Callithrix jacchus: one gene and its partner. The protein of the gene in region 2 interacts with the protein of the main gene of each other region in a pairwise test. Links are inferred from orthologs where the notes say so. Each region holds a gene or a part of one and is shown on either strand. Other genes may lie near its edges.

Region 1 (4,127 bases), on a different chromosome or scaffold from region 2:
AAGTTCTGAGGACAAGAACTTTTCTCTTCTATTGAATGTCATATACCTACCACATAGACAGTGCCTGGTATCAATAAATATTCCTTGAATAAATGAAAAGAGTAATTTATTTGTACTAAACCCATTTTGAACTTAGTAAATAGCAGTTAAAACATCTACAATCAAATGAAGTGTTGTAGCAACCATAATTTCAGCAATTAAGCAGTGAAATGTCTTCCAATCCTTTCCTCCACAAAGATGGAAGTTTACTTTGCTGCATCCCATTGCCAACGACCCAGCACTCCAGTGGTAAGAGAGGCTAGAGGTGGGGGTGGGAGAAACTTCATGGAAGCTGAGTTTGCAAAGCAGGTACATACTTTTTTTTTAACGGTTATTTAGGGTGAGGAGTACAAGCGAACCTAATGTTCCTTCAGGCCACCTACAGCACTGCAACTGTTCCCACATACTTCAACTGGGCATGAAGACGGCTTCCCACTCACTCTGACAGTGTTGCACCCTGTACCCACCGCCCGTCTCTTCAATAACCCAGGGCTAAACGGCACGAAGATCCTCTCTACCGGCTGGTGTGCATTCTGGGCTAGGTCCAGCCAAAAGGCAGAAAGGCCTTCGTGCTGCAGTCTCGGGTGAAGAGACAGGCTCAGTCTGGACGAACTTTCCAGGCCATCGTGAAGTTTTCCCGTCTTGGGTGCATGCGGGCCCCACGCGTCTGCGAGTTTGGGTTAGTGTGTCCACAGGGTCAGTCCCGGTAGCTACTTCGCGAAAGCTTCGAGGCGAGTGTGAGGTCAAGGACTGCGGTGGATGGGTGTAAAAGGCCTCCTTGTCCCCCTGCCTGCACCGTCTGGGGGCAACCCCCAACCCCCGGCCAGCGTTTCCCTTTAACGCGCGTGACCGTCAAGGTCCTCTCGTCCCCCTCAGCCTCGGTTTCCCCCACTTCTCCCTGTCCTTGTCGTCCCTTCCCCGTGGGACGCCCCTCGCCCACCGCGCCACAGCCCGGCCTGCGCGAGGGACCCAGCTGTCACTTTACTTTTCCGCGCCGCCTCTTCACCCCCTCTCACGGCCGGCGGGGCAGCCCGCCGGGGCGCGCGCCCGCCCCCGCCCCCTCGCGGCCGCGCGCCGAAGGAGGAGGGGCGCGGGGAGGAGGGAGGCGCGCGGCGCCGCACGGCCGACGTGGGGCTCGCGCTCTCGCGGTCTCTCCCGGGCGGGCGCCCGGGCACGCGCAGTCGCGGGCGCGCGCGCGGACGGCCGGGCGGCGGCGGCTCCCAGAGGTGGTGGCTTCACTTTCCAGGACTCAGGGGCAGCCACAGCGACAGCCGCGGGCAGCAGCCTCAGGAGCCGGAGCTGGAACGGCCGGGGGCGGCGGCAGCGGCGGCGCTAAGGGTGAGTCCGGGCGGGCGCGAGCGCGGCGGGGACAGGCGTGGTCGGGTGCGTGGTGCGTGGGTCCGGCTTTCGGTGACTAGACGGTCCGCAGGGGACATCCCGTCCCTGGGGCCTCCCTAGGCTCCCCCCGCTCGCGCCTCAGCAGCTCTCTCCCCGGGCTTCGGCTTGAGCCCGCGACCTGCGCGGACACCCCCCTCAGGTATTCGCTCGGGCCGCGCCGGTGCCTCCCCTCCTCGGGCGTCCTCCCTCTCGCGGGCGTCCTCCCCACTTCCCCGACCTCCCCTCCGCGCCGCAGGTCTCTGCTTACACCACTGGCGTCCTAGTTCCCTCCTTCCTCGCTCCCCGTGCCCGGTTCTCTGCGCCCCCTCCCGCGAGCCTCCTGCCCCCGTTTCTCGCCCTTTCTACCCCTCCCCCTCTTTCCCATCCCCCCCCCTTCTGCCTCTTCACTCCCTGTCCTCCTTCTACCCCCTTCCGTTCTCAGTTCCCCATCCTTCCCCACCCTCCCAGCGCCTTCCTTCTCCTGGCCGCATCCTGGAACTAAGTCTTTGCAAAAGTACAGGATAAATGTCACGGTGGAAAGTGCCCGGCTTGATCTTTTGCTATTTTCCCTAATTGCATAATTGCTGCACATGGTGTCTCTCCTGGCGAGTGCCGGGTCTGGCGGCTCCGCCGCCGCACCCCGGTGGCCCGCCCGGAGAAGACCTTGTGGGGTATATTTGTGTGTGTCCTGGTGTGGGGTGTGTGTTGTATTGGTCTTTTGTGATGCCTGGCGCTTGTCACAGTTTGGAACCGAAGCCCATTTTTCTCTGGTCTCTTCTCTGCAGCTCCGCTGGCCTGGTTTGAAACTGGATTCCCTCTGTCCTCTTCCCCTTCTCCCTCCTCCACCCACTTCTCCCCCTCTCTTCTCTCCTCTCTCTGGTAATGTTTTGATCCTTTTGCCCTTTACCATTTCTAATGAAGATAAAGCGTGGCTTCTTGTGGCTTTTTTTTCCCACGACCAACCAGAAATGTCCAATCCATCTTCCGTTAAGGAAATTAAGGTCGCTTTAGAAAGACATCATCCTGTGCTCGGTGGCTGTTAGACCCATTTGCATGTTTCCAAGACTCGTCGTTTTGTATTGTGTGTTCTTGAGAGTCTATTCAAATATTTTTATTTAAAAGTACGAAAGGAAGTGCTAGGGTTTACCCTCAGATTGTCTCGCGGTTCAGAAAGATTTTACGCTCTTCTTAGTATTTAATCCCTGATTCTTTAAAAAGTGTGTTTCTAGATATGTGATAATTCAGTCAAGACTTTGTGAATCTAAATATTTGCCTTTACTACGACAATTTGAATGCACCTTGGCTCTTTGGAGTTCTGTATGTAGGCTGTTGCTTAAAATGGAGTGTTTTCATGTAATGTCATACCCCATTCTCTCTCTCCTGCTGCACCTTTTAACCTCAAATCAGGTGTTCCACTGTTATGTTCTGCATAAATGTCTTTGCAGTTAAATTTAAAGCTGGATATTGCTGTGTGCATATACTGTGTACTATTTTGTTTTATATTTTTGAAAAGTTTAGAAACGTGAGTAGGAAGACAAGATATATATGACAGAATTAAACGCTTTCCTGTTATAAAAGCTCAAGTGAACCCTTGTTTTGCAGTTTCGTACTAGTAGATACTGTTATAAGGCTTATCTGGATGGTAGTCTGAATTTATGGAATGACTGTAGTTGGCTTTATGTAGTCAGTGATACTTCAAGCCAAATCATTTCATTTTTATGGAACATGTGAGTTTCATTCACTGTATGTTGCTAATTTCCAGGACTGTAATTACAACATAGAGTACATAGCTAATACAGGTTTAGTTTGTGTTGAAGAAGGAACAGAAAGTAAGTCTCTTAAAATAGTTTTAGGAAGGACTACCTTACTATTTTATGTTTAAAAATCAAGTTTTACTTTGAGTTATGAAATAAGCATATTAATTTATATATCTCAGTATCTTTGAAACTATCATTGGAGAGTAACTCTTTGTTTCTACCCCTGGGATTTAAGTTTATCTTCCCTGTAGATTAGATAATCGGCTCAGATTAGCTGTTAGGAGTTTATTTTAAAATGCTAATTTAGAAGATAATGTTTAAAGAACTTTAAGTTAGGAATTTTTATTCATTTGTACTTTAGAGAGACATCAATTTTACACTTATGACTAATTAAAATGATTTATAGACTACTTTTTCTTCATGAAAATTTGTTTCACCTGAGTGGTACAACAATTTTTTTCTATACTTTTTCTGTAATCAAGTACTCAAAAAACAAACCCAGGAGAAATTCCTTTTATTAGTAATATTTGAAAAAGAGATGTGAAAACTATTTCTAAAAGTTCCCATAGTGGTTATCAGTGGCCTGAGATGGATTCATCATTTGTAGGTTAACATTTGGATGAAATAAGATATCTTAAGTCAAAAGTGGAAATAATTCTTTTCCTTAATGTAAAACTAGAAATTATGCCTCTTTTGGGGCATTTTTAATAGTATTTTTATTAGTTCTCTAGTGAGACTAATTTTTACTTCAGGCTTCCTTTGATATTTGGCAGTAGTTTATGAAATTTGGGTTTCACATTATGGCTCAGATCGTATCATTGAGTAATCTTTATAAGGAATTATGTAACTATGGCATTATTTGATAGTATGTAAATGCACATAAATAAGAATATTAAGAAGAATGTGTGGCTTTATAACTAATGTGATACACAACTGAAACTCTCAGCATAGTTT
Region 2 (3,644 bases):
ATTTTCAAAGAAGTTCTACTGTGAATAATACGCTATTAAACAGCACCACATGCTCAGAGATATCTTTCATAAAAGGAAGAGTCAAAAGTAAACTTTGTTGTCTTATTTTAAGAAATTATCACAGCCACCCCAATCTTCAGCAACCACCATCTTGATCCATCAATATTGATGCAAGACCGTCCACCATCAAAAAGATTACAATTCCACTAGGAAACCCAACAAATTAATGTGACTTGCTTTATCAAGATAATCACTTTATTGAAGTGGTCTGGAACTGAACCCACAGTATCTCTGAGGTATGCCTGTATCCTTTAAAATATGTTTCTGTTCTTTTTCAGCACTACATAAATAAAATTTCAGGACTTAAAAGTAATGGTAACTGCATTTACAAAATTTTAAATAGGTTTTCACTAATTCAGACTAGACTTCCCTCAAGACTGAATTTTTTCTTTAGAACATATTAAGCACATAATTGCTGACAAAACATAAGAACACAAAAATGATTAGAAGGGGATGGGAGAAATCAGATCAGCTTTTCTGTAGCAAAAATCCTTTGAGTATACCTAGAAGAACTGGATTTAGGGAAGCAGAGCAGAAGAATGAGCATCCCAGGCTGACAGAACAACTTGTGCAAAGCTACACTGCGCTTGACCTGAGGGGCTAGGCAGGGGCAAAGGTCGAACCTTAAGCATCTCGAAGCCCGACTGTAAGCACTTGCCCTCCACCTCAGCAGCCAAGTGGGCCAGGTCCCGGCGCTTGTCCCCAAGGTGAGCAGCATTTTCTCGGAGTCGCTGCAGAATGTCCTGTTCTTCTTCTTCCAGTCGTGAAAGCAACACCTGCTGCTCTTCATCCAGCCGCCTATGAAGCTCTTCAAACTCTCTTAAGATCTGCTGTCGGCGACTTTCCACTAGTCTCTGAGAAAAGAGGGAAGATGTTCTATCAGCAGGGTCAGTGGGTTAAAAGGAAGCCTTTCTCTCATCCACCATATGTATGAATTAACAGAGACTTCCAGTTTCATTGAAAATGGTTTAACAAAGGCTGGGTGTGGTGATGCATGCCTGTAATTCCAGGACTTTGTGGGGCTGAGGCAGCTGGACTGTTTGAGCTCAGGAGTTCGAGACCAGCTTAGGCAACATGGTGAAACTCTAACTCTACAAAAAATAGAAAAATTAGCTGGGTGTGGTGGTGCATTCCTGTAGTCTCAGCTAATGGAGAGGCTGAGGTGGGACGATGGCTTGAGCCCAGAAGGCAGAGGTTGCAGTGAGCTGAGATTGTTGCACCATTGTATTCCAGCCTGGGTAACAGATAGAGACCCCATCTAAAAATAAATAAACAAATAAATAAAAAAAAAAGGTTTAACAGAACACTCATTTTCTGCTTCATTGGAATTTCCTTCTGTAAAGAATGGCTCCATCCTCATCACCCCCCACTGATGACTTGGCAGTGACCATTAGGGATACATACGTATTTTTAATTTAAGATAAAAAACTCAATGATATGACATTCACTATTACAGATACCAGAGATAGCTGTGTTGTTACTGACTGTAAAGTTCTAGTTAATTCAATCTGTCAAAAAAGGAAAGTACAGGCTCATGCCTATAAACTTAGTGCTTAGGAAGCCCAGGTGAGAGGATCACTTGAGGCCAAGAGTCTGAGACCAACCTGGGCAACATGATGAGACCTTGTCTCAACTAAAAATTAAGAAAAGTAGTTGGGTGTGGTAGTGCACATCTGCAGTCTTAGCTACTCAAAAGGCTGAGACAAGAGGATGGATGGCTTGAATCCTAGAGTTCAAGTTAGTGTACTATGATCACCATTGTGCTCCAGCCTGGGTGAGTGAGATTCTGTCTCAAAGCTTGAATCCTAGAGTTCAAGTTAGTGTACTATGATCACCATTGTGCTCCAGCCTGGGTGAGTGAGATTCTGTCTCAAAACAAACAACAACAAAAACAACACAACGAAAAGTACAAATACTAAAAGTTAAAAGTTGTCATTCTTTGCATATTGCAACACATCCACCAGATAAAAACCAGAGAACCAACTGGGAAAGTATAAGAATCAGTTAAGAGTTTAATAATGGGTTGTTACAAAATATACATATGTAGATTTCAGGGCTGAACTTGTTAAAGTGTTTCAAGTCACTTCAGAGAATTGGCAATTCCTACCCCAGGAACAGGTTCCAGAAGTTTATTAGTAATTAGCTGCTTGAAATTTGAAACATGATTTCTTTAAGCCAGCAGTAGACTTAAGCCCTTCCTGAAATTTTATAACATAGGACTCAAACACCAGCCACAATACTTTCTGAGAATTATCAGTGTATCTTCTCTTCTGCATCTCCACTAAAACAAATAGTGATCTCCCCAAAGAAAGATTCCTCAAGCATCATGTAACTGATGATGAAGCAAAGTGAGCAGCAGAGGGTGGGATTCTAGAAGTGGATAGGGAACAAAAGGCAGGCCTGAGTGTGAAGACAGAGTGAGGATGCAAAGCCAGGATGGGGATGACAAGCATGGCATTTGTGGATTCAAGCTAGTTCCTAGCAGAGGCTGACTAGCTCTTTCTAGTTCAGGGCCACTTGCTGCTTCACTTTCCACTGCTGCCTTCTCAGTGCACATCTGAACAAAATATATTCTCACAGTTGCCCTCAATAAAACACAGCCTTTTTGTGTATGTGAGTGCATGAGTACATGTGTGTGCATGCATGTGCGTTTGTTTAGGGGTGATGTATGGGTGTAAGTTTAACATTCATGACTGTGATAAAAAGGAAGCAAAAAGGCTCTTCCTCTTATAAACCTGTAATCTCTTTTTTTTTCACTGTATTTGTAGGGCAGTGGTTCTTAATGAAGGTGTTACCTCCCTCTGAAAATATTTTGGAAATGGACGCATATTCTTGTTTTCCATGTTTGGGGAAGTCCTGACAAGTATGCTAGCACTCCTCCAATGTGTGAGACAACCCGGCATAGTGAATTGACCTGTAACATTTTCTAATGTTCTGCTGGATATATATATATATATTTTTTTTGATATGGAGTTTCGCTCTTGTTACCCAGGCTGGAGTGCAATGGCGCGATCTCGGCTCACCGCAACCTCTGCCTCCCGGGTTCAGGCAATTCTCCTGCCTCAGCCTCCAGAGTAGCTGGGATTACAGGCACACGCCACCATGCCCTGCTAATTTTTTGTATTTTTAGTAGAGACGGGATTTCACCATGTTGACCAGGATGATCTCGATCTCTTGATCTCGTGATCCACCCGCCTCGGCCTCCCAAAGTGCTGGGATTACAGGCTTGAGCCACCGCGCCCGGCCCTTGTTCTGCTGGATATTAAAAAACATAGGCCTGGGCTTGAATGCCATTTTAACAGTATAAGCACAGAGTAATTCTTACGTGGTTTTACTAGACATGAATTTTTTAGCAATAGCTGAATAAAACTCAAAATTATATTTTGTTTTACTTAGGATTTTACCGAAAGTGATTATTATAAAAAATCATATCACCAACAGCTAAGCTACTATGGTATTTCAATCACATTGACACATATCCATCTCAGTCTGAATTTGTATTTATTGCATTGCTGATACATATAGGTGCAAGCATATAACTGGCTACACTGTAAACTACTCTTTCAGGGTAGTCATGCCCAAAT

The links. The genes of interacting proteins can lie anywhere in the genome.
Region 1: the proteins of TRIM39 (region 2) and UBE2E2 interact in binary tests that used the Homo sapiens proteins (3 or more experiments, as listed by UniProt). The link is inferred for Callithrix jacchus from reciprocal best matches to the Homo sapiens genes TRIM39 and UBE2E2.

Annotation. Positions count from the first base shown.
Region 1 is NC_133518.1:61,540,442-61,544,568, forward strand, and holds the start of UBE2E2 (ubiquitin-conjugating enzyme E2 E2), read left to right. Parts: upstream 1-1,216; 5' UTR 1,217-1,377; intron 1,378-4,127.
Region 2 is NC_133505.1:35,060,273-35,063,916, reverse strand, and holds part of TRIM39 (E3 ubiquitin-protein ligase TRIM39), read right to left. Parts: intron 915-3,644; coding exon 684-914; intron 1-683.